Mytilus edulis: one gene and its partner. The main gene of each other region encodes a partner of the protein of the gene in region 2 in a complex. Links are inferred from orthologs where the notes say so. Each region holds a gene or a part of one and is shown on either strand. Other genes may lie near its edges.

Region 1 (9,941 bases), about 63 Mb from region 2:
AAAAGTGTATTTTAAATTTATCTTGATCATGTTGATCAGGATTATAATTTTCTTCTACTCTATTATACAGAAATTTAATTTTCAGGTGAGCAAATTTTCAAAATATGCCATACATTTCAATTGTTTAATGGCAAGTCATAATACTTCATCTTAACAACATTTCAGAAGCTGACTAAGTTTATGATCTATACACAGTCTTAAAAGTACTGGTATCTCCTTCAGCCAACTTGGCTTAAGTTCATCTCCTTTAAACAGGGCCTTTAATTAATCACAATTTTAATATGATTTGGCTATTATGATACATTTATATGATTGATCGAGAGGGCTTCCAGTAGTGGCTCTCGACATTATGCACCAATTAAATTTTCATTCAATGACACAAATATACAATTTTTGGTTGGATTGTTATCTCTTTGACACATTCCCCATTCCCATTCTCAATTTGAAAATCTATGTATAATAGAGGTTACAAGTGAGGAAATTAAGTTTATTATCTTAAATTTTAAAGAATTATAAGGATTTGACACCAATTTAAAGGAATTTATTGTATGTATAAACTGGGCCAAGTCACTCACAAACATATTATAAAAGTCCTTCCTTTATTTGTTTAAGAGTGAATTGGTTAAGTTTATACACCAATAAATTCCTTTAAAAAGGTGTTTAATACTTTATGACTACATAGTCTTAGTACAATATTCACCAAAAAACATGAACAAATATGGAGATTCTAAAGTTCTTAGATGGATCTAAATTTCAATGATTTTAATCTTCTTCGAAATATATACCTCGTTTTGTTGGCGCATTGATTGGTTGTTCTTTCTCTGGTTTTGGAGTTCTAGCAGCTAATAACGCTTTTTTCTGAAAATAATAAGGGATATACTGATATATCATGATTATATAAAATTGTCTTTGCAAAATGAAATGTTCCTAAATTTTCTTAATAGTTTTTTTGTTGTTGCACATGCACTTAAAATGGCAACTTGATTAACTCTGGTTGATGTTGAAGTAATAAATGCTCTCCTATTAATCATTTAAGACTGGCCTATTACTGTTTTAGACCCAATTGTCAAAACTTGGTTGATTCTGTTCCACCATCTACATGATCTTAGATTATTAGCGGATTCATCTGAAGTTTGCCAATTGAATTTAGACAGCTGCTTCAGTTCCTGTTCATATGGGATTAGTGTGACTCTGTACAAGGCATCATTCTGACTGATTTGATAATTTTCTGTGTGAAAAAATATACCAATTTACAACAGTAACACATCTATATTCTGTACAAAAATTTTTCAAAGACTGCCACATTATTGGACTGTCAAACCATAGGATTGTTGGAGTTAAGGACTGTCAGAATTAAAGGTCTGACACCATTTAAGTGACGGTACATTGAATGACCGAATAACACCATTATAATCCAAATAACACTTGTAATGAACGAATAACACTTGAAATTTTAATATATGCACGTGCATGTACATATTGGTGACTTTTAAACATTGATTATTAAATAATAGTATATTATCGATGTATTTTTTAACTTACAAATGATTTACAGAAAGCAGGTAAGTTTATAAAGATCATTTTGAATAAAGTGTGTACACCCAACATGGCGACCACAGAAATCACAATGGCTGCCATGTTAGATGTACACACAAAATTTAAAATGATCTTTATGAACTTACCTGCTTTCTTTAAATCATTTTATAAGTTATAAAATACATCAATTATATATTACTATTTAATAATCAATGTTTAAAAGTCACCAATATGAGCTACTAATATAACATAGTATTCAAATTTCAAGTGTTATTTGGATATTACAATTGTTCAGCGGATAATAACGGTGTAATTCAGTCATTCTTGTTACTCTTTAAGTGATGGATATGCCAAAGATAGTACATCTGTAAAGCCCAAGTCACACTATACCATGATCGCACCATGCTAACCAAGATCTTATATAAACAAAGATTGTGGTGAGGTTGCATTAGGAAAATGTTAATTTTCGTTATTTCATGATGAAACTACGTCCTCATTATGTTTCTACAACGATCCCACTACAATTATACCACGTTCTCACCACGCTTTTCCTACCATTATCATGATCTTACTACTGTCATCACATTCTCACTTCGACTGTACCAAAAGTTATCTGATTGCAACACGATCTTACCACACTTCTACTGCGATTAAAGCACGTTCTTAACACAATTATACTACATTCATATTGCGATCTTACTACATTCTCAGCAATAACATCAACATCCTGTTCCATATAAATACTTTTCCATTCCTTATATTTCTGATTAAAACGTAGATTTCTCGGAAAAAACACAGTCATGCCACCAAAATCTACCAGAACACATGGGCATGGTGGTAGGAGTAGATGTAGAGGCAGAGGGAGCTCTGATAGTAACTAATCCTGATCTAGCAGAGATGTCGGACCAAGCAATCCAACCTGATTCACAACCTATTGCTGGTCCATCAAGCTCAAATGACAATGTTTTAGGCAGCAACCATTTGATTTTCTGGGGGAGCTATGGTTTTTTTTGGAAAAAAAAGTTTGTTTCCAGTTTTTGGAGAAAAAAATAATTTGTTTTTGATTCTGAGAAAAAAAAAATGTTTGTTTCACCCTCAGCTGCCAGTCTATATGTAATGCTAAAATTGAAAGAAAAAAATTGTTTTCGACTTGTCGCGAAAAAAATAGATTGTTTTTCGCCGCAGGCGATAAAAAAAGGTTGTACAGAAAAAAAAACCATAGCCCCCCCCAGAAAATCAAATGGTTGCTGCCTTAGTGAACAATAGCAGGGATGACACAGATCAAGCATGGTTGAGCCTTTGGAGAAAAACAACAAAAGGTCCAAATTACATATATATAGACAAACAAAACCTGGAGGGCTTTTATGTATTTCATGTGAAAATGACAATGAGCATGATGGTTGTAGTATGAACTTAGTCAGGTTATAAGAAGAGCGTGATGATAATGGCATTGGTGTGCTAGAATTGACTATGGTCTTAAACAGCATGGTGTAAATGTGGTATAGCCATAATGGAAGAGTAGATCGCAGTGAGACTGTGATGGTCATAGTGAGCTTGCAGTAATGTTGCTGTGAGATCGTACATGTAGCGCAGTCTCTCCTAATTGAATCACGCTTTGGCTACGCTCTTGCTAAGATGGTACAGAGACCTTTGCGATCTTACAACTACCTTGCTGCACCCTCACTACACTTCTACTACGACCTGATTTCGCCTCAACAGCACCATGATTGTTTGGAACATGTTCAAAGTTGGCCACGCTCATCACGATCTTGAAGACCTTACCACCACCGTATAACGACCTTACTTAGATCTACAAGATCACACTATGATCGTTAAAATTTGCATTTTTTTTCACAGATCGTGGCCTAGTGTGACTGTGGTATTAGATATTTGCTGGTATTATCGAGGACACATTAAGGAAATGTAAATGACTATAAAAAAAAATCATGAAGAAGATAAATAATAGGAAAAAAGATGATTCATGTATGAAGCCGATTTGGCCTTGGTCGTTTCGGCCAAAAGTGGAAAACTCGAAAAGTTTGTTTGGTCATTTTTTTGTTGTTTTTCCAAGCAAACCATTGCACACGATCTTAAATGTTAACCTTTTTTCTTAATTTTGCATATTTCTGTTTGAGAATTTCTTCTTCTTCTGTCAGTGTTGGTGGAAAAATAATGTGAACCATTCTGTATTCTATATTTCAAAACCGTAAAATTATAATCTATCTATCACAAAATATCAGCTTTCGTTTGTAGAAGGTAAAAAAACATCCAAATGGGAGAATTAAATTCAAAAACATTTATCAGAAAAACTAATGGTTTTAGAAATGTTTAAATGTTTGATAACAATGGGCTTTTTTTAAATTTTCATTAATGAAACCTTTTAGAGAGTATTTATTTTTTGAGATTCATTCTTAGGAATATTTTTGTTGTAGAAATTAAGGGTCCCTTTGGACTCACTAAATACCACAAATGAAAACAAGTAAAATAGTATAGTGAGTACACATGGTACACGTAAAAATAAAGAGAAGCAAACCGTATGAAGAAACTGAATTTTAGATAATTATGTTCCATTCCAAGAATTTACAGCTTTTCTTAGAAAAGTCCTACTCTCGAAACAAAATGTCACACCCACTAACATGAAGGAAACAACTGTCAAAACAGTATACAGTCACATCTGTATCTGTCTGCCTCTCTCTCTTGACATATACTTCTTCTATATTTATAATGCAAACAGTAAGCATACAGCTATTCTGCATTTGTATTTGTCGCTATTGTCAGCTATGTGCAGGGTTGAGAGATATGTCTTCCCAAATTTCCCTCCCCCAGAAAAAAGATCTCGTCCAGGATCCTAAACAATGAGTTTTCAATTCCCAAAGTCAGATAATTGTTTATCAAGAATTCTGTAAAAATCAGATAAGCCCAATACCGAATTTAACAAAAATAAGCTTAAAAAGAGGGACAAAATATACTAGAGGGATAGTCAAACTCATAAATCGAAAAAAAACTGACAACGCCATGGCTAAAAATGAAAAAGAAAAACATACAAACGATAGTTCACATGACAAAACACGTAAAACTAAAGAATAATTAACACAAACCCCACCAAAAACTGGGGGTGATCTCAGGTGCTCAGAAAGGGTAAGCAGATCCTGCTCCACATGTGGCACCCGTCGTGTTGCTCATGTTATAACAGAACCGGTAAATAGTCTAAATTGGTAGGTCACATTCATGAAAGGGAAAGGGATTGTAGTTATGACGTAAGGAACATATCCGATATCATCTGTGAAACAGTTATTCCATAACGGTCAACCAACTCGTGATGGCATCTGTAAAATTTATGAAGCCATTTGAAACTCTTGGTTTAATAGCTTCCTTGTGAGCAGCAACCCTCTATTAAGAAAATCATGATAAGAAAAACAAGCACGGAAATATCGTACCAATTTAGGAGATATGTACCCTGTATGCAGGTGCTGCTGGAATGTTGCTACTTAGAAATGGAAAGTTCACAATTGGAGGGTTGAGTTTGAAATGGTTTTTCTGCCCAGCATTAACGCATTTACACTTTTTAGTATTTAGCTATATATAGCCTCAAAATGACCTTAAATCTACTCTGAATCACCTTTTTGACGTCAAGCAACAATCACTTTTTAAATGTGAAGTCAAATTTTTGAATTATGATGTCAGAGTTTACGGGAACCTGTGTGATTTTACGTAATGGCGTACAAATTTGCATACAAGTGTAAATATGTCTATTGTCCACAGCAATGTTTACTAGAAAATTAGGGTTTTTTTTTAAGTTGATATGATACACATACACGATATGATGACATTCAGTATTGCATCTTTAAATTTATAATATTTTATCATTGTTTTTTTTTATTTTTAGTATTCCCATCTGATTTGAATTACACAACTGTAAGAAAAAATGAAGTTTTCTGTGCAGAATGTGAAGAATGGTTGTCGTTTAGGGCTTATCACTGACCTAGGAAAGAATGGAACCAAAAGTATAGAAACTCCTATGTGTATGTTATATACCAGAGGAGGTAAGTAAATTATGGATATGAAAATAAGTAGAGTTTAAAAAGAAATTGAAGAAATTTGCAGAAACCTATATTGTTTGTGTTTTGTATCATAGAAATGAAAAGTATGTTTTTAGGACAATATTTCTGTTATAAAATAATTATTCCATTTTTGATAACTGATCCTATTTTTATTAATGACTTATAACCTACCACTGAAATAAAATTGTATGCTACACCACACTGTTATACTGTTTAGTTTCCACATTTATAATTCATTGTGTTTTCAATTCTCATTTAATCCTATCCAACAGTTTACATTCATTTCAGTGGCATTTTGTCATATATACCAATTGACATTTACATCGTGTTATATTTTTTCGTCTTTTTTAGGCAATGCTCCTCATTTGACGTTAGACGTCTTAAAGAAGATACAGAGAGTTCCTCCAATGGCTCACATGTATTTAAGTTCTCTGTAAGTAAAATAAAACGAGTAATTATAACTTTTTAAATTTCATTGTATTAGTTGAAATTTTACTTTTTAAAATGCAAAAAGCATTGTTCAGTTTTATGTTATACATTATGATTCAATTTCATAATTTTACAATGAAATTAGATGAACCATGAATCATTTTTTTCCCTTTACAATGGAATAAGCAGAGTTATGTCCCATGATCTATGATGTTCACTTTTTCATTCATGCCCTTAAAGATATTTATTATGGGAAATATGCATGCCTTAATTTGACTAAGTCAACATAAATGTATAAATTCAAGATGTATATTATGTATGGAGTATGACCTTCATTATATCTTTAATATATCCATGTAAATTTATGATGTAATATAAATGGATTGTTTTACCTGAGGGCTGTATAGTCAGTCAATGTTGTTAAAAACTCCCACCATCATCATCATGAATTGTTAATGTTTTTTTCTTCCAGGGCAGAACATAGTGAAGCTGTCACACAGTTTAAGGAAGGAATAGCTAATTTCTGTGGCATGCAGGTAAATATGGCTTCAGCTTTTAGTTCTACACCAAAAAATATTGGTCTTTTTAAATGTGAGTTCTACACAGGTAAAATAGCTATGTCCGTTAAAAATCAGTAATATGTCTGTATTATATGGAAGACTTACTGACAAATAGTACCTCAGACTTACAATGTCTGTTGCTTATAACGCGTAATACATCTATATCAACTCGTAAAACATATTAGCATAGGCACATCTAATTTCCATGGCAATTGTTTAGCCCTGTACCTTCAGTCATGGTTCATTGACTTTAAATCTTTGCATAACTTATATGTTAAAGTATTGCTATTCTTATTTCAATATTTGTATTATCAAAATAACACAAATAGGCGAGACATATATCTGTGTTTAAAGTTTATATCAATATCTACATAACCTTTAATGACAGGATATATTCCATTGATAAAAAATGCCAAACAACAGATTGCAAAACCGTGGAGTAAAAATCTGTACAGGTTTTATAAACTTGATTTTAGATTCTTTCAGCAACACATCCATTTATTTTTATTAATGGGCCCATGTTTGAAGATAATATAGGAGAAATATTTTGTTTCTGTAATTACATGAGTTATACATATGTTGAAATTTTAGTAATTTTAGGAAGTGTATGTGTATTTAAAGAAAATGTAAAACAAAGTTTATAATTTTTTTAAAGGATTTTGCAGTTTACTGTTCCTTACATGACCCAGCTACAGAGGTACCTTCGGGATACAATGAAAAATCAGGGACAGCAATCTGGACAAAGGGAGGGAAGTATAAGGTATAGCCTTTTCACCTTTATAGATACTTTGTATGTTCTTTTCTTATATATTTGATGCGTTTCCCTCAGTTTAAGTTTGTAACCCGTTTTTTTTTTTTCTCAATCGATTTATTAATTTTAAACAGCAATATACTACTGTTGCCTTTATTTATAAGCTGACTATTATTTGCAAAAAGTTTAAAAGAGCTGAAAAATTATTTGGTGTTATTTTCAAATAGAAATAAAGAAGATGTAGTTTGAGTGCCAATGAGACAACTCGGCATCCAAGTCACAACGTGTAAAAAGTAAATGTTTACTTCTAAAATTATTTTGGTTTGTTGCTGGTTTACCAGACAGAAAATTAAAATAGTGTATTTATAACAAAATAAGGCTAATGACCTAGTTTGAAATGTTATAAATTTAATTCTGCATTAAAGAATCATCTTGTTACTAGGATTATTAGGAAAGAAAGCAGGTGGGTCATTTACATAAAAAAGATATTAACCTAGCAACACACAAAAACAATGGAAACAAAATTTCTTAACCCAACAACACAAAAACAATGGAAACTGTAAATTCGGAAACTATTGCGTGTATTTATTATTGTGAATTTGTAATTTTAGACTAAAATGCGATTTTAATTGTTGCGATATTGAGCAAAATCCTGTTTTAATTCTTATAAAAAATTTCAAAATGCATTTTTAAATTATTGAGATTATAACCCTGTCACACTTTTCGCAATAATAAAAACATCACAATAATTTCTGAATTTACAGTAAATATAGACTCATTAATTTGGATTAGAAAATATGAATTTATACAATTATTTCATGGATAGGATAATCTTAGAATTTTATAGCCCTTCCTGTTCCTGGTAATTATTTTCTATTCACAAAATATAAGACTCTATTCATAAAAATGAGAATGGAAATGAGGAATGTGTCAAAGAGACAGCAACCCAACCAAAGAGCAGAAAATAGCCAAAGGCCACCAATAAGTCTTCAACACAGCGACAAAATCTCGCACCTGGAGGCAGCCTTCAGCTGGCTCCTAAACAAAAATGTGTTCAGTGAAAATGGAGTCACACTAAACTCTGAAACATATAAATGAACTAAAATTTTAAAAACATGCAAGACTAAAAAAGACTAGACGGCAGAGGTTTCTGACTTGGGACAGACACATAAATGTAATGAGGTTTAACATAGTTTATGAGATCTCAACCCTTATTAGAACAATGAGACATAGAAAGTACTGATGTATCAGATGAAAGAACCTTTACATGTATTATTATTTTTTAAAACTTTTTTATTTGAAAGTTAGATGTCATCCACTTTATGCAAATCCAGGAAGCTTTTCAACCTGATATCTGTGAAGCATTGTATGACGGGGATACAAATAAAGATTCTACTCGCAAACGATTACTGAAAGCAATGGATAGAACTTTGAACTATCTTGATGAAATTCAGGATAAATGGAAAAGTTCTCAGGTTTGTATGTCTCTTAAAGTCTTTTAGAGTAACTGTCTTGCCACTAGGTATTTACTTGTACCTTCTGTTTACTTGACACCTACATTTTTTGTCACACTTTGCATACTTTCTCTTTGCAGTGGGTGAGGGGAATTAATCGAGTGTGTTCATTATTTTAAAGAATATTATTTTAGAAACAATGAACTATAGTTGTTAATTTCTGTGTCATTTTGGTCTCTTGTGGTCGTTGTGGAGAGTTGTCTCATAGGCAATCATACCACATCTTCTTTTTAATTTAGCTTTTATTAATACAATTTTTTGTTGACTTATGATACAGAAGTTACAGAAGACAGCACTGTTTGGAGTTATAGAAGGAGGATTTAGCATACAAGAAAGACAGAAGTCTGCACATGAAACTGTTACTAGAAATGTAGATGGTGAGCTTGTCTTAGTTTACTTGTAACTTCTACTCTAAAAGTGATAAAGATATTAGAAAGAAAAAAAAACAGTTGTAAACAAAAAAGCATTTGTATGCCAAAAAAAAAAACATCATTAGAATTGGTTTTCGAATAAAAAAACTTACTCTACAATTTAGATCCTTATCTCAACCAGAATCTGACCAGTTGGAAATTAATCTTCAGTGCTAAAAATTTCTGACATATATATTGCTTAATGTTGGTAAATGTCTATGGTAATTAGTTACAAAATATTTTTGTTCTGTTATTTAATATCTGTATAAGTGCTGAGCAAATTTCTTGTAATTTCCTCTCTGTGTTAATATATAAATCTGAGGCTTGCACTGAAGCAGACAATGTGTGTGTGAACTCTGGTAATATTAAGGAAGTGTCAACTGTTGTTTCATTTGAGCAATACTGATATACTTATTAAGTTGCCTAGCTTAAATTCATATTTAACTGACCAGTTGCAGAAAAACGTTTATCTACTGGCATGAGTTAAGGATTGATTGAGGTTTGCATGTCATGATGACTTGGTTGTATTTGTATTTTTAAATCATTTCTGTTTTGGGGGGATGTAAAACATGAAGTGCCATATATTAATTGGTTGTATCTAATCTAGAAGTCAGGCTAGAAATGCCCATCAGAATTAAAGAGTTTTCTCATGGTACATGGAAAACATGAAAGAATCAGAG
Region 2 (10,210 bases):
TTGAACGTTGTTTTTAATTTAGACTTGTTGACCCAAAAAATATACTAAAATGCAGTCGACTTTAGCGTTTGATAGTTCATTGATAACATTCTGGCGTATCACAAACAAACAATTTGTTACGTCTCATTTCATTGGCTGAAAGATTTAAATACAACAATAATGTAGTCAGTGTGCACGTGAATTGACACAGGTGACCGACAATGGAATTTACTATGTTACTACGAACGTAAAAACAATGATTTTTATAGTTTACAAACCTTTGGTCAAAAGAAATAAATAAATGTTTTGTTAACTTCAAATAGTGGGGTCGAAATACTGATATTTTGTTTTAAGTAATATTCTAAGTTCTTTGCATGCAGCAACTCAATTATCTTGTACCCGGCATGATGAGAAATATAAGGATAAAATAAAATACATGTGCCGCTTTTATACGGATGAATATATGAACCACTTTTAATTTCTTTCATACTGACGATAGGTTATAATCCTAACAATGTCGTAGTTACTTATAATAAGTATCTCATAACACTGATCCATTACAATAATTAATCAGGGTTGCACTGACATTCCTCTTTTATTATTTTCATGCTATAAAACATACCCACAGTACAAAAATGTAGCTATAAGCGTACCATAAACGGAATAAATTGTCCCCAAAAGATAGAAACAAAATAACTTTAATCGTATCATTGGTGCACCTGAATGAATTCAGTGAAGGCAGGTTGTTGTAATAAATTGAAATGTTACATCGGCGAAGATTATTTCTTATGCATGTGTGGAACTAAATGATAAATTAATACTTGTGAGAAATCGTAGTTTATAAGGAACAATTCTCTTGTTTGAATTCGGGGCCTGTTATAGCTGACTATGCGGTATGGGCTTTGCTCATTATTGAAAGCCGTACGGTGACCTATAGTTGTTAATTTCTGTGTCATGTTGGTCTCTTGTGGAGAGTTGTTTCATTGACAATCATACCACATCTTCTTTTTTAAATACAAATATACTGTTTTCGATTTTAAATGGATGAACATTTATCTTTCAATTTTATACTGTAAGAATAGAGCTGCATAACATTGTTGGACTATCCGCTAAAGTATATGTAGCATGTATTCGTATTTAAAATGAAAAACGAAACGTGTATGGTAAGGCAGCAACCATTTGATTTTCTGGGGGGGGGGGGGTATGTTTTTTTTTGGAAAAAAAAGTTTCGTTTCCAGTTTTAGAGAAAAAAATAATTTGTTTTTGATTCTGAGAAAAAAAAATGTTTGTTTCACCCTCAGCTGCCACTATATGTAATGCTAAAATTGAAAGAAAAAAATTGTTTTCGACTTGTCGCGAAAAAAATAGATTGTTTTTCACCATAGGCGAAAAAAAAATTTGTCCAGAAAAAAAACCATAGCCCCCCCCCCCCCCCCCCAGAAAATCAAATGGTTGCTGCCTTAACTGATAAACAAAATATCAAGAAATTAAGGATGACTAAATGCACATGTACAAGAAGACACTCACCTTTTTATCGATACATTTAAATGATTTAATGAAAAAACACTTTTTTAAAAACTGTTTGTTTCTATTTACATAGATATAGGAAGATGTGGTGTGAGTGCCAATGAGACAACTCCCCATCCAAATAACAATTTATAAAAGTAAACCATCATAGGTCAATTTACGGCCTTCAACACGGAGCCACTGAACAACAAGCTATAAAGGTCCCCAAAATTACTCATGAGTGTAAAACCATCTAAACTGGAAACCCAACGGTCTTTAAATACTTACAATATATAATTTACGTTCGTTTTTCAACCGAGAATAGCAAAACCTAAGTATATCGTTGGAGTTTATAAACTACATTTAATCATCCCCTGTGCCATGATTGGCCATCTCCGTTTTTTCTTAACAAAGCAAGGTTGGTTACATGTTATGAATTTACTTACAATTTCGGGATTTTTTTTCTTCAAGTAAACGGAATCAGAAAAAAAATCGCTATCCTATGTCGAATACATAAAACTTGGAAAAGAATATGAAGTGTTTGTAGTAAAGTACGGTTTCATTTTTCAAGTACAACGTTAATTCATCGAGTCCATTAAGTAAAAGAAAATGCAGGATAAGCAACTTGGGGGGGGGGGGAGTAAATGAAACCATATGTGAATTGATTTTTTTTATCCTACATTGAACTTTTGATGTCGTCCCTTGATCTAGAGGAGACATTTAAATTATTTTAATATTAATATTTAAATGTAAAAACTGTTAAGATTTTATAGTTTAAACTTTACTACCAATTGCAGAAAACTATAAAACCAATGAATTTCACATGCACATTTATAAAAGCTAGAATTGTGATTGGAATCATGTATGAGAATACGTCGATGGAAGCTTTAAACGACCTTGACCAGATACGTGAATATTAATCAGTCCATTCAACGTTATAGTATGTGTGTTCTATTTTCGAAGGTGTGAAGTCGAAGGTTTGAATTGACCAATGGAAACGATCGTTCCTTAGAGAGTTAATCTAATAAAGTTTGTTTGACTGATTACGTCGCACTACCTTTCGCTAAGCTAAGCCGCAGATGAGTGTAATAATTCATGTATTGTATCAGAGATCCTTGTTTAATTCCTACAAGAAGGTAACACCTCCCGAAACGAAAGCTTATATTTATAAGCTAGAGTTACATGAGGGGATAAGGTCTCCGTGCAATGCTATATATATTTAGACTTGTTTATATATAAAACAAGTCTAAATATATATATAAAATTGAGAATGGAAATGGGGAATGTGTCAAAGAGACAACAATCCAACCATAGAAAAAACAACAGCAGAAGGTCACCAACAGGTCTTCAATGTAGCGAGAATATCTGAAAATGAATGAAGAGAAATATATATATATATATCTCTTCATTCAGATATTTCTTCCTGGCTTATATTTTACTTACCCTTGGTAAAATATCATTGTTTACACAATGATGTAATGTCTTCATCATGGACAAAGCTATGGTGTTCAACGCATAGGGATCACACAAAATCATAGACAAGTCTCTTGAATGAAAAAAAAAAAAATGCTTCAGTCACATTTACTTTTTACTGATAAAAACAAAAGTATTGCATTGGAATCATGTAATTTGTGGTTAGAGTTACACAGATCATCTAAATCACATAAATACTAATCTGTACATTAACTTTTCATTTTCTTATATTGGTAAATGGTTGTATACAGGTACATTATAGTTGATTTTCAAGATATATGTACATGTACATGTAACATACATGTTTAAATACCTAATGTTGTGTGTGAGCTTGGTATGGTTGAACCAGTGACTTAAAAGATTGGTATATACATACATACTGATTTGTCCTCTTATGGAATACATCAGTTAAAGTTCATGTGTACATGTATGCAAGATGATGTACACAAATGTAAGGACAAAAGCAATGTCTGTTTTGATGAAAAATGAATCTGCACTTTTGCTGTCCCTGTGACCATGTGACATAATTTCTTGCAGAGTGTTATATTTTGTATCTTAGGGTTCCTAATTAAATATACAAGAGCCCAAATTGATCACCTACATTTGTAGCAAGCAAGTTTTCAAATTCCCAATTTTACTGTTACATGTACATTTGTACATTGTAGTACATGTGAAAAATACTTACCCAAGAACAAATTCTTGTCCTTTTTTAATACCATCTAAGAAACCCTGCAATTCTCTTGATCTTTTACTGTCAATATATTTATCCCTTATGCAGGCATCTACACACCATGTAAACTTGTGGCAGGGATCTACAGAGCAGATTTCATTTATTTCTTGATCATGCAAAGCCATCAATAATTCTGCTCTAAGAGTACAGTAATGAGCATTTCTTGTCCGAAGAAATAAAGTTCTTAAAAACTGCAACACCATATCATACAGTTTAACATTTCTTCCCACCATTTCAGCCAGTTTTTGAACTATATCAGTCTGTCTTCTTATTCGGGGGGATGGCAAAAAGAAAGTTAATGTGCTGTGCTCATGATTAAAGAGTGAACTTTCTTTGTCTTTTATATATTGTGAAAGTAAAGGGGAGACTTCATCCCCAAAAAGTGCTTGATTTTCCTGCCAAATTTGCCTCTTAACTTCAACTGCAGCTTCTGAGTAAAGTTCTTTGTCTTCAAGAATTTTTGTCAGATATTTATCATCTATCTTAGGTAAATGTTTCAATATTGACATGACAACAGGTCTGAGATTTTTCACCCTTATCACTGGGAAACACTTTTCCAACAAGGACTCCAGTGTTGTAAATCTATTCTTTTGTTCACTGGTGGCCAGTTCTGCTATTCTGTTTGTTAAATTTTCACTTAATTCTTCAAGAACTGAGTTATGGAAATCTAAGCGTTTGATTTCAAACAAGTCAAGAAAAGGCAATGCAGGACGAAGTGATGGCAAAAGAATTCCATTTTCTGTTTGAAATTCTTCGATAGCAGCTAGAGGGTCCGAGCAATTTGTTAGGGACTCTCTGAGGTAATCACCTCCAGGGATTCCTAAATCTTCCAATCCTGCCATCTAAAGATGGGATATTTTTGGTAAAAATTGTGCAGCTTTCTTTTATATTCACCAAACTTTCATCTTTTCTTAATTGCAAAATCGACAGGAAGTCGATACCATTTCGTACCTTCATTTGGAAGAACGAACTTTCTCACTTGTCAGTTTATTTCTCCACTACATGGAGCACACCAGGATATCTTCGAAACGGTTTGCTAAAACAGAGACATATAATACATGTATTATATGTCTCTGCTGTAACGAGCCCAATGCTAAGGGGGAAAAAATAAATTAGTTTGAATATGTGATACTGACAATAACAATCAAACGTGAGTTATGATGAGCTCTTGTAAACCAAAATATTGTCCTATGAAATATTGTACCACAAGACAATTTTTCATAACTATGTATCATGAAATATTGTCCTCGTCTATGGAAAAATGTCCAGAGAAGGACAAATTTGCATAGTGCATTTGTGTCTGTATAAATAGACAATATTTCACAGATGAATACTATGGAATTTTGTCTTGTTAAAGGGAGGTTATATTTTGTGTGAATTAAGACAATATTTCATAGATAAATACTACGAAAATGTGTCCTGTTAAAGGGAGGTTATATTTTGGTTATATTTTGTGAATATTGAGACAACATTTCATAGACAAACTGTCATTAAATTTTGTCTCATGAAGGGGAGGCTATCAACAGAATCCCTGAGTTTTATTTTTTTTCTAGTTTTTGTCTAGTCACATTATTTTAAGTATTTGAACAAAATATGTTAAAGTTTTTGTTTTTTTTTAATTTGACAGAATATTTATACTGCCGCAATCAATTTATCATTTTCCCTTTGATTTACAGAGTAGAATACTGGAATACAATGTATTCATCTTTATTGATATTTGTTAACAAAATAATTGTATTCAGTCAATCACGAATGTATGGCAGTATATATGACTAGTCTTAGACTAGAGTATAAATAAATGAACTTGTAAATTTTATCTGTTTCATAATTTACAGTTGTTCATCATTGTTTTTCTTAATTTCAAGCTGAATATTTTATCAAAACAAAATGTTTGTTTTTATTATTAATCCACCAAAAGACAAGTATCACAATAATCAGTGATTCAAATTATTTTGTCATTGAACAATTAATTATCCTAAACAAGCCATGAACTTTTAAATATTTCAATATTTCAATAAATTTCAAGAATATACATGACATACATACCATAGAAATATCTAAATAAGTTAATTCAACTTCAATGCCCTCAATATTAATATTTTTATAGTAGGGCGAATGGACTCTATAGGCGAACGAACTCAGAGCGAACGGACCTAGGGCGAACATACTATTAGGGCGAACGGTCCCGATACCCTACAACATATATTCATGTTACAGAAGGTATATAGGATTTTTTTCTGCGATACATACTTGTGTTTATATTTACAAAATAAACGATTGTCAGTACATTACTTATATTTGTACAGTATAATGTAATAAAATGAAACCTTTGTTAGACAATTCTTTAATCTGTAATTAACCATTTGTAGTGTATCTATGCAAATTTGAAACTCACTATTAACAATAATATAAATTCTCTACTATACAAAACAATTTCAGTTATAAATCTAGAAATGTGCATGCTGCATGCTTGTGTACTATTTCTAATTGTGAAATAATTCGATTAAAAAATATTTTCAAAGCCAGTATTTCATAGTGAAGTATTGTCATGAACAGAATTTCATATTGAAATATTGTCCAGAACAGGCAGAAGGAGGTGACAAAATTTCATGGACAAGGACACTATTTCATAATGAAATATTGTCCAAGACAATATCTCATTATGAAATACTGTCAGTGGACAATATTTTATATGAAAATTTGTCCGACTGAAAATATTTCATGGAGGACAATATTTTATGTTACACTCTTTCAGTATGAAACTTGGATTTTAGTCAGCATACTTTCCCGGCTTAAACACGATAGGGTGGAATCAAAGACATATATTTATTTTACTTCCTATACATTTCCAGGAATATGATTGGTTAAAAGCGTCCGCGTTCAAACCGTGTATATTTGATATTAGGTTAGTAGGAAGGCGGGGCTTATCTCATACACGGTTAGTAGAGAGAGGCCGTTACGAACGAAAAATTGATGACCATGGAAAAAATATTACACTGCCAAGATGAGAGAGAACATGCCAGTTTTGTTCAATGAACTCGGTTGAAGACGAAGAACATTTTTTATTTAAATGTACCCTTTATAATAAGGAAAGAAAAACCTTTTTGGATGAACTCTTTGCAAAATACCTATATTTATCCCAAATATCCGATAGTAATCTGCTTATTTGGTTTATGTCAAACAATAGCCTTCATTTTAACTCTAAATTATGTGAATTGCTATCCTCATTTTACACATTGAGAAACTAAATATTTGCTTAACTGAAACTTATAAAACTTATTTATAGTCTTCAACAGTTCATTGTAACATTATATACTTGAATTGTTCTTTTCTGGGCAGTAAGAGTTATCTTTCGTTCCATATATACAATGTAGGCAACTGACTCTCCTCATAAAAAAAGTACATTTGTATTGGTATTTTTTATCTGTATTTTATTTTTTTCATTTTATACATGTTGTACTGTAAAATCAATCATCCTTAATCAGAACGATAGTTGTATGTGTGAGTGTATGCGACTGGGAGAGAAAGGCTTTTTATTTTTACTTTACGTGATTACATGCTTGTTATGAGCCCTATGATTAGGAAATAAAATATCTTTATCTTATCTTTATCTTAGTAGTGGAGTTACGTCCCTTTATATTCCATATTAGGTAAGAAGGGGCGGGCTTATTTTATACACCGTTAGTAATGGTGTTATGTACCTTTATAAAAACAAAACGGTACTTAGAAAAAATCTTTCCACCAGAACTATTTAATGTCTATAGATCAGACAGACCACCAAATAAAAATAACCAAAGTCATGGAGGTGTACTTATTGCCATTAATAAAGAACTTATAAGCACAGAAGTAAGTAAACTTAAAACTGACTGTGAAATAGTTTGGTCTCAAATAAACATGACTGGTAGTAAGAAATTATTAGTAGGTGCATATTACAGACCACCATCAGATAAAGGAACATCTTTTATACAACAACTAGAACTATCACTTAGTAGAATTAACGAATCATCAAATACTAATATCATGATTGGTGGTGACTTTAACTTAGGTCATATTGACTCAGTGGTCTATACCTCAGGTCATACCCGGTAAACCGGATGCTGAACATCACAATAAACTTTTAGAACTACTGGAACATTTTAACCTTCAACAAATAGTTAACACACCAACTAGAAAAGAAAGAATACTAGACTTAATCTTAGTTAACATTCCAACAACTGTCAACAAAGTAAACACACTAGGTACCACCACTAGGACTAAGTGACCACGATATCGTCTACATAGAAACAGACACTTGGCTTCGAAAAGTTAGACAACATCCGAGAAAAATACTAAAATATGACAAAGCAAACTGGGAAAATATAGAAGCAGACCTACAAAAAACACTAGAAGAGCTTACTATTATGAACAATAACAACAATAGTACTATCAATGAAATGTGGGATTTATTTAAAAACAATATCACAAAATCAATAGATACAAACATCCCACATAAAATGTTAACGTTTAAACATCGACTTCCCTGGGTGCACAACAAACTCAGAAAAATGATAAATAAAAAGAATAAATTGTACTCTAAAATAAAAAAGGACAAAAACTATATAGTTAAATATAAAAAAACTAAAACAACAAGTCCAACAAGAACAGAGACGTGCCTATTGTACATACATAGAAAAAATGATCCTTGACCTTCCAACAAATGACCCGGACCTAAGTTACAGCAACCAATCAAAACGAAAGAAACTCTTTTCTTATATAAAATCAATCAGAACTGACAATAGTGGAGTTTCTCCCCTAAAAAAAGAGGGCTAATTAACAACTGATACAAAACAAAAAGCCAACATTTTAAATGAGCAGTTTTAATCAGTCTTTACCACTGAAACAACAAATAATATGCCTGATAAAGGGCCAAGTCCCCATCCAGTCATACCATCACTCACAATTACCACACCTGGCATACAAAAACTCTTACACAACATCAATCCGAACAAAGCCACTGGCCGAGATAACATCAGCGACAGAGTACTAAAACAACTTCAAAACATTACGGCACCAATCCTCACCATTATTTTCCAAAAATCACTCACAACTGGATGTATACCATCCGACTGGAAACATGCAAATGTCGCACCAGCATACAAAAAAGGGGAAAAATACAACGCAGTCAACTACAGACCAATCTCTCTCACTTGTATCAGTTGCAAACTAATGGAACATGTCATTACTAAACACCTAATTAACCACCTAGAAAAAAACAACCTATTATACGACCTTCAGCACGGCTTCAGACACTCTAGATCATGTGAAACACAACTTCTATCTTTCATACAAGAACTAGCTTCAAATTCAGACAATAACACCCAAACAGACCTTGTAATTATGGACTTTGCCAAAGCATTTGACAAAGTCCCACATCAAAGACTCTTATATAAACTACATTTCTACGGTATTCAAAATGAAACACTTAACTGGATCTCTGCCTTCTTATCAAACCGTTGTCCTGGATGGTGAGTCATCAGACATTGCTCCAGTTACTTCTGGTGTCCCAGTGGCGGATCCATAAATTTTCATAAGTGGGGGCCCACTGACTGACCTAAGAGGGGGCCCGCTCCAGACATGCTTCAGTGATTCCCTATATAAGCAACCAAATTTTTTCCAAAAAAGGGGGGGCCCGGGCCCCCTGCCCCCCCTCTAAATCCGCCTCTGTGTCCCACAGGGAACAGTTCTGGGTCCAGTTCTATTCCTGGTATATATTAACGACCTACCAGAATATATGAAATCTAGTAAACTCAGACTGTTCGCAGACGACAGCATCATATACAAAAGCATCAAATCTCAAAAAGATTGTGATAGCCTTCAGGAAGATCTTGATGCTGCTGCAAAGTGGGAAGAAGACTGGCTGATGGCTTTCCATCCAGACAAATGTACAGTTCTCACTGCCTCAAACAAGAAAAATACCATCAAACACGACTACATCCTTCACGGCCACACTCTAGAATCTGTCTCCTCCGCAAAATATCTTAGAGTAACACTGCAATCAGACTTAAAATGATAACAGCATACAAATAACATCATTGGTAATGCTAATAAAAGCCTACGCTTTCTGAAAAGAAATCTGAAAACATCCATTACAAACATTAAGTCTCAGGCATATCTAGCACTTGTCCGACCTAAACTAGAATATGCTTGTTCGGTTTGGAACCCTCATACTGCTGAACAATGCAATAAACTTGAGATGGTTCAACGTTGGGCTGCTAGATATGCCTGTAATCGTTATCACTCTACAATATAGAACAGTAAACCTAGTAGTTATGTAAATAGTTTTGACCACATGTCATGTTAGTATTTGTTTATTTTTTGGCACTTTTATTTTGTAAATATTTATTTATTATTATCCTACGCATGCGCAGCAGTTAGTAATCATCAAAAATCTGATGGATAACTGGATACCATAAGAAGAAGAAGAAGAAAAAAAATCTTCAATTTGAAATTGATTGAAATAAATTCATAAAACACATTTAAACC

The links.
Region 1: negative elongation factor B-like (region 2) and negative elongation factor E-like share a complex: the UniProt entries of both Drosophila melanogaster proteins name them as parts of the NELF complex. The link is inferred for Mytilus edulis from reciprocal best matches to the Drosophila melanogaster genes NELF-B and Nelf-E.

Annotation. Positions count from the first base shown.
Region 1 is NC_092345.1:2,449,732-2,459,672, reverse strand, and holds the start of negative elongation factor E-like, read right to left. Parts: upstream 3,802-9,941; 5' UTR 3,720-3,801; coding exon 3,639-3,719; intron 859-3,638; coding exon 786-858; intron 1-785. Other genes in the region: queuine tRNA-ribosyltransferase accessory subunit 2-like, read left to right, coding at 5,462-5,579, 5,949-6,030, 6,499-6,562, 7,242-7,346, 8,642-8,812, 9,129-9,228. UniProt on the Drosophila melanogaster protein: Essential component of the NELF complex, a complex that negatively regulates the elongation of transcription by RNA polymerase II by RNA polymerase II. The NELF complex, which acts via an association with the DSIF complex, causes transcriptional pausing.
Region 2 is NC_092345.1:65,340,288-65,350,497, forward strand, and holds the start of negative elongation factor B-like, read right to left. Parts: upstream 4,725-10,210; 5' UTR 4,531-4,724; coding exon 3,644-4,530; intron 3,032-3,643; coding exon 2,929-3,031; intron 1-2,928. UniProt on the Drosophila melanogaster protein: Essential component of the NELF complex, a complex that negatively regulates the elongation of transcription by RNA polymerase II.